Linked DNA regions of Pelodiscus sinensis. The protein of the gene in region 1 purifies or fractionates together with the protein of each later gene. This does not show direct contact. Links are inferred from orthologs where the notes say so. Each region holds a gene or a part of one and is shown on either strand. Other genes may lie near its edges.

Region 1 (7,618 bases):
AAGCTAAAAGAAGTCAATGCTGTTGCAAAAAAGCAATCATTATTTTGGGATGTTAACACGAGTGCTGTAAGAAAGACACAATAAGCAATGTAAAAATAAACAAATTGGAGGAAGTCCACAGAAGAGCAACAAAAACTTAACATGATCTTTGAGGAAAGAATGAAAAAAATTGGGTTTGTTCAGTCTGGAATAGAGAAGACTGAGATGGGACATAATAGTTTTCAAGTAAATAAAATAACTGTTACAAGAAGGAGAAAAAAATTGTTCTCGTTAACCTCTGGAGAAAGAACAAGAAACCATACGCTTAAATTACAGCAAAAGAGGTTTAGGTAAAATACTAGGAAAAAGATTCATAGCTCTCAGTGTAGTTCAGCATTGGAAAAATTACCTAGGGAGGTTTTGCAGTTTCTGTCATTGGAGGTTTCTAAAAGTACTTAAATACCTGTTGGAGCAGTGTTCCCTGTAATTTTTTCCATCCATGAGCAAAATAAATTGTATTATATGAACCGTGGCATGTGCAGATATGCACCACCAGTAGAAATACATATTGCAGACTTTGAGTGCTCTGCTAATCAGTTGTGCAGCATTTGAGCTTCTCTTGTGTGGGAGCCCAAGCACTTAGCTTACAGGGAACACTGGTCAGCAGTGACCTAGTTAAAACGCAGTCCTACCGTAAGTACAGCGGACTGGACTAGAACTGTGTTTCTCAACCAGTGATTGAGTACCCTTAAGGGTATTTGAGAGAAGTCTGGGGGATACATCAACACAACTGAAATTTGGAGAAAACAGAAATTTTGTTTTAAGTTTTACAGAGCTTTATTATTTTTGTACTTTTTATACCCAAAAATTTCATTGCCCGCCTGGATACGATTAAATTGTTTAAACAAATGTGTTACAATGGTAGAAAAAAAATGGTATGTCTGAAAACTGTAGGTACTAGGGGTACTTTTTTTTTTTTTTTTTTTTGAAAAAGTAAGTTGAGAAACACTGGACTAGAAGACTTCTGGAGATCCCTTCCAATACTACAATTCTGTGTTTACTTGCACCTTTCCTGTGCTGGAACATTAAAAGGTGGAAAAAAGAAACTGGGGGAAGACCCTGGTAGCAGGTAGTGTTGGACTCCATTACCAAAATACCACAGGTCCCAGAGGCGGCCTGGACATGTGCCTTTACCCTGAACATTGCTCTGCAGGTAGCTTTCAACCCCTCTCGACGCACCCCCAAACAGCAGTACTGATCTATACTTCCTAAGGCAGTTTAGGAAGGAATTTACGCCAGGTACTCCCTAAGAATGTAACAGTATAGTCGACTAAATGATTAACCGATAAACCAGTTTTTATAAGTTAATGTTATCAACTACATGCAACCCCCCTGCCCTGCAAGTAAATTTTAACCAGGCTGGCTGAGTGGCTAAGTCACAGCAGGGGCTGGTGACAGATCCAGGCACTCAGCCATACTGGGTCAAACCAAAGGTCCATATAGCTCAGCATACTGTCTTCCAACAGTGGCCAATGCCAGATGCCCCAGAGAAAGAGAACAGAACAGGGAATCATCAAGTGATCCCTGTCCTGTCATCCATTTCTAGCTTCTGACAAACAGAGGCTAGGGACACCATTCCTACCCATCCTGGCTAACAGCTACTGATGGTCCTAACCACCATGAATGTATCTAGTTCTTTTTTAACCCTTTTAAAATCCTAGTATTCACAACATCCTCTGGCAAGGAATTTCACAGGTTCACTGTACAATGCATGAGCAAAAATTCCTTTTGTTTTAAACCTGCTACCTATTCCTTTCATTTGGTGACCCCCTAGTTCTTATGTTATGGGAAAAAGTAAAGAACCCTTCCTTAGTCACTTTTTCCACACAACTCATGATCTTATAGACCTCTATCACATCCCCTCTTAGTCTCCTCTTTTCTAACATGAAAAGTCCCAGTCTTTTTTCTCTCTCTTCATATGGCACCCATTCCAACCCCCTAATCATTTTGTTGCTCTTTTCTGAACCTTTTCCAATGCCAACATATCTTTTTTGAGATTAGGCAGCCACATCTGCACACATTATTCAAGACATGAGTGTACCGTGGATTTATATAGAAGAAATAAGATGTTCTCTTATTCTCTAGCCCTTTGGGTTATTGGGGTTTTTTTTTGTTTTTGTTTTTTGTTTTTTTTACTACTGCTGCACATTGAATGGATGTTTTCAGAGACTGTCTCAGTTCTGGCTCGTGTGCAAGACCCAGGATCAACCCCCACACCAGCACAGTGCAGAACCGCAGCAGGGGTAGTTGCTGGGTCCCGGCATGAGCCAAGACTGAGCCAGCCTGACCGTGCGCCAGCTATTAATTCTGGAAGTGCTTGTAATGCAGAGCCACAGCGGGGGTAGGAGCCGGATTTGGTAGGAATCGGGACTGAGTGGTAGCAGCACCACCCCATAAAGATAAATTGTGTAGTCGACAAAAAAATGTGTCCACTACACGACTGACAAGTTACACGCTTTTTGACATCCTTAGTATATCCTGGAAACCACCAGCACCAGCCCGCAGGGGGAAGGTGGCCAGGAGCTGCCTTTGTCCTCTGGGAAGGGGTTTCGTCAGCCAGCCGCCCTTATCCCCGGACAAGCCATCACAGGCGGTCGCACAAGCGGAGCTGACCGCCTCTCCCCCAGCCGCGCGGGCTCCTCTGGGCGCCACTCCTGCCTGCCCCAGGCCGATACCAGTGGGGAGGGGAGGGCGGGCACCGACTCTCTCCGCAGAACGTGCCCAGAGCTACACGCCGCGCTGCCCCCGCGCGGCCCCGAACTCTGCTCGCCCCCCAAGCGGCCGCAGGGACCCTCCGCTCACTCACCAGCCCGTCGATCTGCACCTGCTTGACCGCCGAGTCCCCCGGGGCCGCCTTGCCCCTGGCTTTAGTGGCGACCGAGGAGACGGTGCTGGCGGGCCCCGTGGTTTCCTTGCGAGACGCCATGCTGAGAGACTCTTCCTCTCACCCGCTCGCCGGCCGGAAAGAGAAAAATGAAACACCGGAAGCGCGGCTAAGAACCCTGCGGTGGGCTCCTGAACGAGGTTCGGACGGAAACGAAGGGAAGGGTCAAAAAGGGCCGCAGTTAAGTGGATGGGAGACACTGCGCGTGCGTAGAAGAAAATGGGGGTGCGTGTTGGGGAAGGAGCTAGGGAAATATACCCACGCGCGTCACTGATCAGTCGTCACGGCTCTCCTGCCCCTCCCCCTACACGTATGTGCAGAGACAAGCCGTGGGGCGGCCTTGAAGGTGCCGGGTTAGTGTGAGCGCGGCCGAAGGGCGGGTTGTGGCACGTCCGCCCCGTGGGATGCGCTGGGGGAAGCCGCTGTGCTGGAGCAGCCCGAGCGCCTTCCGACTGCGGGAGCTGCGTCCACACTAGGACTGTGCGGGGGTGGGGAAGGTCACTCGCCAAGTGACATAGAGCTGTTCCTAGGAAGGCAGCCCGTGTCCCAGCACGCACACGTGTTGCATCGCTTTGCTCTAGGACAGGTGGTGATACGGTCTCGCATGATATTCTTATTGATAAACTAGGCAAATATAACTTAGATAGGGCCACGATAAGGTGGGTGCATAATTGGCTGGATAACCGTAGTCAGAGAGTTGTTGTTAAGGGTGCTAAATCCTGCTGGAAAGGGAGAACAAGTGGAGTTCCTCAAGGGTCTGTTTTGGGACCCGTACTGTTCAATATCTTCATCAATGATGTAGATATTGGGATAGAGAGTACGCTTATTAAGTTTGCAGATGATACCAAACTGGGTGGGGTTGCAACTTCTTTGGAGGATAGGGACATAATTCAAAATGACCTTAGCAAGTTAGAGAAATGGTCAGAGGTAAACAGGATGAAGTTTAATAAAGAGAAATGCAAAGTGCTCCACTTAGGAAGGAACAATCAGTTCCAAACATACAAGATGGGAAGCGACTGTCTAGGAAGGAGCATGGCGGAAAGGGATCTAGGGGTCATAGTGGACCACAAGTTGAATATGAGTCAACAGTGTGATGCTGCTGCAAAAAAAGCAAATATGATTCTAGGTTGTATCAACAGGTGTGTTGTAAGCAAAACTCGTGAAGTCATTCTGCCGCTCTACTCTGCACTAGTTAGGCCTCAGCTGGAGTACTGTGTCCAGTTCTGGGCGCCACATTTCAAGAAAGATGTGGAGAAATTGGAAAGGGTACAGAGAAGAGCGACAAGAATGATTAAAGGTCTAGAGAACATGACCTATGAAGCCAGGCTTCATGAACTGGGCTTGTTTAGTTTGGAAAAAAGAAGATTAAGGGGGGACATGATAGCGGTTTTCAAATATCTAAAAGGGTGTCACAAGGAGGAAGGAGAAAATTTGTTCCTCTTGGTTTCTGAGGACGGGACAAGGAGTAATGGGCTTAAAGTGCAGCAGGGGAGGTTTAGATTGGACATTAGGAAAAAATTCCTAACTGTCAGGGTGGTCAAATATTGGAATAAATTGCCAAGGGAGGTGGTGGAATCTCCCTCTCTGGAGATATCTAAGAACAGGTTAGATAGACATCTGTCAGGGATGGTGTAGACGGAGCTTGGTCCTGCCCTGAGGGCGGGGGGCTGGACTCGATGACCTTTCGAGGTCCCTTCCAGTCCTATGATTATATGATTCTATGATCAGACCAGGGCTGAATCATTGGTTAAGGGCTTGTGCTGGCAATCCACCGACCAACAGGATTCAAGGCAAATGAGGATGTGGTGCTGAAGACTTCCTAAGAGGATATGGGCTGAGGGTAAAGGAGAGGGGGACAAGCATAGGTAACTGAGAATAATATTAATAGAAATGTAGCCAGGTTAGTCTGGTGTTGGTGAAACAAAAAACAGGACTATGTAGCATTTTAAAGACTAACAAGATGGTTTACTAGGTGATGAGCTTTTGTGGGCCAGACCCACTTCCTCAGATCAAATAGTGGAAGAAAATTGGCAGGACTATATATACCAAAGGATACAATCAAAAAAATGAACACATATAAAAAGGACAAATCAAATTTCAGAACAGAAAGGGGATGAGGGGGGAGTTAAATGACTGTGAGCTAATGATATTAGAGGTGATAATTGGGGAAGCTATCTTTGTAATGGGTATGATAATTAGCGTCCTTGTTAAGACCTAGGTGTAAAGCGTCAAATTTAAGCATGAATGACAGTTCAGAGGATTCTCTTTCAAGTCTAATGTTAAAATGTTTTTGAAGCAGGATGGAGGTAGTTAAGTCCTTGAGACAATGCCCTTTCTGGTTGAAATGGCAATAAACTGTTTATTCTTTGTGATCCTGTCTAATATCTATTTTGTGGCCATTGATTCTTTGGCGAAGTGTCTGAGACGTTTGTCCAATGTACATAGCAGACAGACATTATTAGCACATGAGAGAATAAATTTGTATTTCTGGATGAGCAGGAATGTGTGTTTTTGATCTTATAACTCAATAAGTTAGGTACAATAATGGTATCAGCAGAATGAATATGTGGACAAAGCTGGCAACAGGGTTTGTTGCAAGGTAAGGTTCCAGGGCTGGTATTAGTGTGGTAGGTCCTGTGGTTGTTGGTAAGAATCATCTTGAGGTTAGGTGTGTCTATAGGAGACTATGGGGGTCTGTCTCCCAGAGCCTCTTGGAGTTTAGTATCCTGTTCTGGTATAGGTTGTAGTTTATTGATAATGTGTTGGACGGGTTTAAGTTGGGGGCTGTAGGTGATGACAAGTGGTGTTCTATTGTTGGTTTTCTTGGGTCTGTCTTGAAGTAGATGGTTTCTGGGTATTCGTCTGGCTCTTTCAATTTGTTTTTTTCTTTCTCTGGGTGAGTAGTTGAGGTTTATAAATGGTTGGTAGAGATCCTGAAGTTTCTGGTCTCTATCAGTGGGATTAGAGCAGATGCGGTTGTATTGAAAGGCTTGGCTGTAGATGATGGATCGTATGGTGTGTTCTGGATGGGAGCTGGAGACATGTAGGTAACTATATGTGTCGGTGGGTTTCTGTAGAGAGTGGTGTCTATTTTACCATTGGTGATTTGTACTGGGGTGTCCAGGAAATAGATTTGTCATGTAGAATGGTCCAGGCTGAGATTGATGGGAGCACAATGGCAGCCCCACCATCACCAAGGCACCCTCCTGACCATGGAAGCCATGTTGGTCACCTACCGTTAAGACTAGCATTACCAGGTCAGCTTTAGAGAAGATGGCCCGCTGGCCCCCAGTGACTTATCCAGCATCTTGGCCCCTGCTGCTTCCCCAATCCTCCCTGGCCCCTACTGCTTCTCCCAGCCCCTATCAACTCTCTCCCTAGGCATTCCACCCACCCCTGTTGCCTCCCTGGATTCCCCACCTCTCCCTCAGGCCCCACTTCCTCTCCTCCCCATTACCCCAACAGACTCCCAAGTTCTTGGCAGGCTAGTCTAGACACATACTCAAGCAGGTAACTGCACCTGCTTTGACATAAAAAGAACGTGATTTGGCTTCTCTAGGTCCCATCTGGCAGTGCTGTGCTGCCAGCCCAGTCTCACCACTCTGCTCTGTGTGACTCCGTGGGAGTGCTCACTGCTGGTGGCTTTTCCAGGCAAATCCTTTCAGCTGCACTCAGCCCAACTCCCACCAGGAAATCAAGGGACAAATGTGACTGTACATGCCCACATGTGTCACCTAAGGGGACAAGAGTTAGCACTGAAGATTTTCCAACAGGAAGAATTAGAGGAGAGGGAATGAAGGCTTTGGGGGCTATACAATTGTTGTGTAGACATTTGGGCTGAAGTCCAAGCCCTGGGACCCTCAGAGACAGGAGGTCCCAGAGCCCAAACTCCGGCCCAAGCATCTAAACAGAAATAGTCAGTCCCGCATTCTGATCCTTGCATGGCTCAACTAGTTGACCCTAGCCAGCTGCAGCCATGTAGACATACCCTAACAGGTCAGGTTTGTATGAAGCAGTGATAGCCTTGAGCCTACATAAAAAGAGTATTGTAGTGTGTTGTGAGATATGATATTGTAGGGTGTAATTGTAATACAAATGTAAGGGGAATCAGTGTTCTCCACAGAACAGGTTGAAAGATGTAATTTCCTGGATGTTAGTAGACTTTGGAAATGACTTTATGCTAGCCTTCCTTCTGTCTACTTAAAATTCTAGACTACCTTGCCTATGGCAATTTATATTCTATACTAATACCAATAATTGTGTCCAAGAGCTCCGCACAGGTTGCTACCTGATGTGCTGAGATACCACTGAGCCTGCCAGCAGTGGCAATCTGGACATCTTTTCCACCTATCTTGCTGAACCAGGATATTAATCCTCCTCCAGGATACAGACAGGCAGGGCCACACCCAACTCAGTGTCTGTCATTCTGCAGATCAGCTCTAGGAAGACTCATCTTAAGGAACTTGCCTCAGCATTCAGTACAGACCCAAAGATATATTATGAAATCCACCTCCTCCCTCAATGCGGAGGAAAATATGTACAGTCCCCCTCCCCCCCACCATTATGAATTCCACAATCTGGGTTATATTAAAAATAAGAAATAAGTTTAACTATGAAAGGTGAATTTTAAGTGGTTAGAGAGGTAGCAAACAGAACAAAGCAGATTATTAAGCAAAGCACTCAAACTAAGCTTAA
Region 2 (7,475 bases), on another chromosome or scaffold:
TCTAACTTTAGAACACTACCTTTACCCATTTTAAAAATATTTTTACAAAACCAAAGACCCCTTTGAAGATCTTAGATTCCAGAGATAGTATATACCCTCTCGTCATTCTGATGTCTGTTAGATATAGTTGTATGGAATAGGGATAAGCGGCGAGGAGTCCTGTGGCACCTTATAGAATAGGGATGTAATAGTGTCGTCAATTAACCAATTAGCAAAAGCTTATAGGTTAATGCTATAGACCAGTGTTTCCGCGGAACCCTGGGGTTCTGGGAAGCAAAAGTAAGGGTTCCGCGAGAACTTCATTACTTCTCTCCCTCCCCCCCCCCAAAGAGACAGAGAGGTATCGGCACACAAAGATGCTGGATGCTTCTCTGGTTTCCCGCCGGCTTTCAGACACCTCCTCTCCCCCGCTGCCACTCTGGGTTCCCAAAGCCTGCAAGTCTCCCTGGTCCATTCTGCCCCCGCCCGCCTTTTATTTTGTGCTCGACACATTTTTCCTGGTGGGCCCCCCCCCTTGACAAATCTTCCCCCCAGCTGAAGGGGTTCCTTGAAATTCTTCTGAGTTTAAAAGGGTTCCATGGCCAAATAAAATTGGGACACACTGCTGAAGACTAAACGCACCGCACCCCTTGCCCCCCGACTTGCCAGTAAATGTTTTTGCAGGCTGGCCAGCAGGCTGGCTGTTCTGGCTTGAAATGGGTCTGGGACCTACCCCTGCTGCGGCTCTGCATTTAAAGTGTATTAGGAGCCAGGCAGGCAGGAAGGCAGCCTGGTTCAGGTCCAGGAGCTCAGACCCCCCTCAGACAGGGGCTGCTGCCATCCTATCCTGCTGCTTCTTTATCAAAGGTAGCAGCAGAGGGCAACAGCTGTCTGCGAGATGAGCTGGTTTTTAAACTGCCTCCCCTCGTGGATCAGCTCCTGCCTGGCACCCTGTGCTGCTGCCTCTGATACAGGTAGCAACGCGAAGTGACAGGGGGCTCTTCAGGAGTGGGGCTGGAGCACACTGGCTGCCGGTCCTGCCCCCAAGGACTACAGAATAGTGGACTAACCGATAAGAATTTTTGAGATTACTCAACTATTTGATTAACTGATATTTAACTTTCCTAGTACAGTAGTCATTGCCAGTTGCTGATATATGCCCAAGGTCTAAGACCTAGAATTTTTGGGGTATCCCTCACAACTTGTCTTTCTTGTTAAGGGAATTATGCTGCATAGCATTTAGGCAATCAACATGCTTCTGTTAAACAGACTAGGTTTAAAGTTGAACATTTAGTTCAAACTCGAACGTGAAAGACAGCAAACCAGCTCCATGATTCTCTAAGGGTATGTCTACACTTTATTCCTCTCTCTCGGGAGAGGAATGCAAATGTAGACACCCAAAATTGCAACTGCAGTAAGGATTTAAATATCCCATGCTTCATTTGCATAATCGCACTATGGCTCTATTTCGCAATAGTGCTATTTTGCAGGGAGAAAAAGGGGAGGGAGTTTATTTCGACAGAAAACCCTTCCCTCAAAATAACCCTTACTCATTTTTTGAGGAGTAAGGGTTATTTTGAGAGAAGGGTTTTCTCCTGAAATAACCACATCTAAACAGAGTTTTTTATTTCGAAATAGCACCAATCCGCGAATACTTAAATCCTGGCTTCATTTATAATTTTGAATGTCTACATTTGCATCCCTCGCTCAAAAGAGGGTGCAAGTGTAGACACACCTAATAGATTGGTACCATTTTAACCCTCTGAGCACTAGCTAATACTAAAAGAAACAATGAAGGACTGCCTAGGTTTACAAGAGACACCACTAAAGTAAAGACACGTTTCTGCCCTGTGGGAGATAAGGAATGCCAAGACGGGGCTATTTGGAAAAAGTTCAACCACTCAAACTTCCCTCAGTGCACACCTCTTCCCCAGTTGCTGCATCAGGTAAGAACCTGTAAGGGGGCAGGTGATACAGACAATCTCCAGAGGAGAGTCCAAAAGTTGAATGCCGGCAGATCCCAGGGAAGTTTAGTAGAGAGGCCTGCCAGCAACTTAAATGTGGTAAATGGGCAACACACACAGAGTGCTCTATTTACTGGGATTGTAGACATCTTTTAACGGACAGGGGCTTTGCTCTGGAAAGGAGACAGACGGGCCAGTGGGAAGGAAGTTACAGGCGGGTAACCATAGTCATTGAACTGAGAAACCTAAGAGCAAGCGCAGTTCTCGGCCGGGGGAAGCGGCCCATTCGGAGACGTGTCTAGTCCCGGCTCACTGGACCTTTCTAGCGCTGGCCAGGCAGTGCCCATGCAGGCGGGGTTCAGAGCACGTGACATGGCACCGACTGAACTCGAGTAAGTCCCAGCTCAGGCGCCACTGCGGATCGGACTAGAGCGTTTTAAAAGGCTTCAGGTGACGCGGAACCGGCCCCCCCCCCGCCGGGCCCGCGCCCAGGCCACGAGCTCGCCGGCGAGTGTCGCTCAGCGGGAGGAGACTCCCACCGCCTCGTTAAGATGGAGACTCGCGGGTGGGCGGGGGCGCTCGCAGCCCCCCCCCCCCGCCGGGGCAGCCCGCGTGCCCGGGAGCGCTCGGCCCGCCCCGCCGGTGGTGCCCCTCGGCGCACGCGGTACGTTTATTCCGCACACGCGGCCCCGGGCCCCACCTTCACATCGTCCTCCTCATCCTCCCCGGCCCAGCGGTCGCCCGCGGCCCCCGGCGTCGGCACCAGCCGCTTGGCCACCGGCTCCGCCGCCTCGAAGGTGTCCGCGTCTGTGGGGGAGAGAGAGAGAGCGCGCGTCAGGCCGGGTGGGCGGGGGGATACGGGGGGGGGGGGGCCGGGGCCGCGAGCGCGGCCAGCACCTACCCCAGGAATCCGCCTCCGCCGCCATCTTGCCCCGCGGAACAGGCGCCTCCCGCGGGCTGAGTCAGCCCCAGCCGAGAGCGTCCCCGCCAGTCGGCCGGAGCGCGGGGCACGCCGGGATAGCGGCGGACGGACAGGCCCCGCCCCCCCGGCGCGAGGGAGGGCGGGGCAGCGCGCGGGCGGATCCGCGTGAGCGCGCGAGGAGGCAGCGCGGGGCCGCGGCTGGGCTCGCGCGCTCGAGGGAGGGAGGGAGGGAGCGACCGAGGGGGGGGCTGGGAGTGGGGCGTCGGGGCAGGAGTCTGGGGGGAAAAGAGGGGGAGGGGGCTCGGGGGGGCATGGGGAAGGGAGGACTTGGGGGAAGGGGGGCTCTGGGTGGGGGGGGCTCTGGGTGGGGGGGACATGGTTGGAGGGGGGCTCTGGGTGGGGGGGACACGGGGGAAGAGGGGCTCTGGGTGGGGGGACATGGTTGGAGGGGGGCTCTGGGTGGGGGGGACATGGTGGGGGGGACATGGGTGGGGGGGGCATGGTTGGGGGGGACATGGTGGGGGGGCTCTGGGTGGGGGGACATGGTTGGAGGGGGGCTCTGGGTGGGGGGGACATGGTGGGGGGGGCTCTGGGGGGGGCTCTGGAAAGGAGGCTCAGGGGGCAGCCCTGTTAATCTGTAACTTTACAAACACGGGGCAGGCAGCCCCTAGAGACCAACCACTGCCTAGGGCAGGGCTCTCCGACCTTTTTGCACCCGAGATCACTTTTTAAATGACAGACCAAGCCAAGATCCACCGCCCCGCCCCTTCCTTGAAGCCCCGCCCTCTCTCGTCTCCTCCTGTCCATCACTTGCTATCCCCAGCCCTTACACACTCTGATAAAGTTTATTTTTAAATTATGCGATACAAACAATTAAAATCACGTGTTTATAGTTATGAAATAAATGGTCTGTTTTTTATTCATGCTATTTACGTCTAAAATCAAGAATTTAAAATTACACATTTTGTGGGGACAGAGTTCTGTGGCTGGGGGCAGGGGAGAGGGAACAGGGTGCTGGGAGGGCAGAGGACAGGGTTCTGCAGCAGGGGACAGAGTGCCAGTGGGGGCAGAGTTCAGGGAGTGGGGACGGGAATAGGGACAGAGTTCTGTGGCTGGGGACAGGAGAGTGGGGACAGCGTTCGGGGAGTGGGGACGGGAGTGGGGATGGCGTTCTGTGGCTGGGGAGTGGGGTGCCAGTGGAGGCAGAGAATCCTCTGCATCTGCCTCCTCCCAGGATTCCTACCCTCCCCGCCCGCCAGGAAAACCAGCGCGTGCCTGCCCCGGGCCGACCCCCCACGGCGTAGAGAAGCCCCGCGCACGCCTGCCCCGGGGCCGACACCCTCACCCCCGCACAGGGAAGCTCCACGCACGCGCGCGCCTGCCCTGGGGCCAAGCCCCCCCGTGCAGGGAAGCCCCTCATGCACACACCTGCCCCGGGGCCAACACCCCCTCCCCCCGCGCGCGCTGAGAAACTCCCGGCGCGCCTCCCCCGGGGCTGACTCACCCCTCCTGTGCGGTGCAGGGAGCCGATGCTCCCTCCCGCAGTGCACCCGGCAGAGCAGCTAGTGCACTTCTGGACTCACCGGAAGTGGCGCTAAGCTGCGGGACTTCTGTCCATCCCCGGGAAGCCGACACTACCTCCATTTTCACTTGAGGTAGGTAGTGGGGCATCTCGGGGGTGGGAGGGAAATGAGGGCAGGGCGGACAGGACGCCTCGCGATCGACCAGTAGATCGCGATCGACCAGTTGGCGACCACGGGTCTAGGGTCATGAGCTTTCTGGACCCACTTCCTCAGATGAGCTAGAGTGGAAGTAGCAAAAGCAGTTAACTGCTCGTGGCATTACTTAAAAAACAACCACCAGTCTTGTCGTACCAGAGGGTACATCTAGACTGCAAGCTTCTTTGGAAAGAGCATCCAGACCTCAAAACCAGATGGAAACAGTGATCTTTTTCAAAAGAGTATCCAGACTGCATGGACACTCTCTCAGAAGAAAGCCTTGTTTGCTATTCCCTGAATGGCCACCAGGGCGCCTGTGTTTTTTTCAATTGCTACCTCTATCGAAAAATGTCCCTGTTCTGCGTCCACACATGCCTTTTTTCAAAAGAGCTCTTTCTAAAAAGGCATTCTTCCTCATAATTTGAGGTTTACCAATATCGAAAAACCCCTGCGTTCTTTTGATTTAATTTTGAAAGAACACGATTGTAGTGTGGCCACAGGTGCAGTTTTTTTGAAAAAACAACGTATTCCAGTCATACCCTTAGGGTGCATCTTGACTGGCCGCTTGAATTTGCACAAGAGCACTGACTTTGTAATGTACAAAATCAGGGCTTCTTGCGCAAATACTTTTACGCTCCTGCTTGGGAAAAAGCCCTCTTGCGCAAGAATACTTGCGCAAGAGGGCCAGCGTAGACAGGGAAGAACTGTTTTGTGCAAAAAAGCCCCAAGGGCTAAAATGGCGATCGGGGCTTTCTTGCGCAAAATCGCGTCTAGACTGGCCACGGATGCTTTTGTGCAAAAGCAAATCTTTTGCGCAAAGGCACTTGCCAATCTAGACGCGCTTTTGCGGAAATACTTTTAACGGAAAAACTTTTCCGTTAAAAGTATTTCTGCAAAATCATGCCAGTCTAGACACAGCCTTAGAGACAAGGTACCCTAGATATCTAGGATCATGAGCTTTTGTGGGCCTTGAGGTAGATAGGGAGCCATCTCAGGGGACTGTGGCTGGGTGACGGAAGGGAAGATCTCTAGGGGAAGTGAGGGGGGGGTCTCTGGCTGAGATTCCACAGGGAAAGGTGTCTGGTTGTGTGGGGGAATTCTCTTTGGGCTTGGGTCCCTCTGTTGACAAGTGCTTTGGGGCTAGGAGAGAGAGCTCTTGCCTGATTGGGGAAGGCGGCAGCAGCAGGGTTCTCTGCTGGGTTTCTTCTGGCCTTGCCTAGACTAGGGTAAAAGGTCTGATGTCCGAGCACATTCACTAAAATGTTCTGATTAGCATGGCTGAAAAGTCTGGAGACAAGGCGCACAGGCTGCTGTGAAGCATCGGCTACAACATAGCTTCATGCGTGTTCTCCTTTATTCTCTACAGCAGTCAGGTGGTGTGATTGCAGCACAAGTAGCGGCTAGCTTTGAGTTTGTACAGTCCTACCTGAGTCCTTGAGTGCATACTTGGGCAGCTAGCCAGAGCCAGCACCTCTATAGATTAGGGATGGGAAGGTTTATTATTAAGATGACTATTCCTGAGCTCCAGCTCCCACCTGCTCCCTGCGTTGCTGTCTCTGTGGGAGGCAGTGGGGGTGGAGGCTCCCTGCAGGCACTGGCTTCTGCCAGCCCCCCTTTGGGGTGTGTGTGTGCAGCTGTTTGAATTAACCGATAAGCCCAGGTTTATCAGTTAATCTTTAAACAACTATATGCTAACATTCCTAGCAAAAAGGAGAGTATTTGGGCTGAAGCAGGAAAGATTAGCTCAGTACCAGGGAGAAGGAACTAGGGGAGCATTTGGGGACTTGGCCCAGGGAAAAGGCTGCTGTATTAGGGCTAGAGACTAAAGCCCTGACAGTAGCCACTACCTAGGGTCCCTGGGCCAGAATCCAGAGTAGCGGGTGGACCTGAGTTCCCCTGAACCCTCCCCACACCACTAAAAGGGTCTGTTCCTTGAAAGGGATGCCTGGATTATGGAGGGGTTTCATCCCAATCCTGTAACTTTGCCAATGATCAGGATGGCTCAAGTAAGCTGTGACCCTGGCCTCTAGAAAAGGCCCTCTAGTGTGCAGGGTCACAGCGAGCCTGTGAGGCAAACAACAACTGGCTAGTGATAGAAATGTAGCCGTGTAAGTCTGTTGTAGCTGAAGCAAAATACAGGACTGTGTAGCACTTTAAAGACTAACAAGGTGGTTTATTAGCTTTCGTGGGCCAGACCCACTTCCTCAGATCAAATAGTGGAAGAAAATAGTCACAACCACATATACTTGCACTTGAAAGGGAATCCTCTGAACTGTCATTCATGCTAAAATTCAACACTTTACGCCTCGGTCTCAACAAACAATCTAATTATCTTACCCATTACAAAGATAGCTTTCCCAATTATCACCTCTAATATCATTAGCTCACAGACATTTACCTCCCCCCCCCCACATCCCCCTTCTGTTCTGAAATGTGATTTGTCCTTTTCATATGTGTTCATTTTTTTAAATTGTATCCTTTGGTATATATGGTTGTGACTATTTTCTTCCACTATTTGATGTGAGGAAGTGGGTCTGGCCCACGAAAGCTCATCATCTAATAAACCATCTTGTTAGTCTTTAAAGTGCTACATAGTCCTGTATTTTGCTTCAACAACTGGCTAGAAATGCAAGACCCTCAGGGCACAGCCGGAGCTTTGCCACAGTAGTTAGTTTTTTGGTAGCTCGTCATTACCCTGACTTGAATACCGTCTGATGGATTTAGGACAATGGCAAATAAAGATGTCATTGACAAAATCTAACCTTGGTCTTTGGTCCAGTGCTTGGCGCCCAGCAAAGATACGATCTATTCAGCATGCTGGTAATTATTCTTGGTACAAGGTGCTAGGTCCTGTGGTTTAGTGAGAGCATTCTGAATTTACAGTCCAGAATA

Evidence for each region.
Region 2: the proteins of EIF3H (region 1) and EIF3J purify together in Homo sapiens (affinity purification with mass spectrometry; 3 studies listed by BioGRID and IntAct, with this or other methods). This does not show direct contact. The link is inferred for Pelodiscus sinensis from reciprocal best matches to the Homo sapiens genes EIF3H and EIF3J.

Annotation. Positions count from the first base shown.
Region 1 is NC_134712.1:23,925,381-23,932,998, reverse strand, and holds the start of EIF3H (eukaryotic translation initiation factor 3 subunit H), read right to left. Parts: upstream 3,018-7,618; 5' UTR 2,966-3,017; coding exon 2,846-2,965; intron 1-2,845.
Region 2 is NC_134724.1:891,439-898,913, reverse strand, and holds the start of EIF3J (eukaryotic translation initiation factor 3 subunit J), read right to left. Parts: upstream 3,004-7,475; 5' UTR 2,870-3,003; coding exon 2,845-2,869; intron 2,751-2,844; coding exon 2,644-2,750; intron 1-2,643. UniProt on the Homo sapiens protein: Component of the eukaryotic translation initiation factor 3 (eIF-3) complex, which is required for several steps in the initiation of protein synthesis.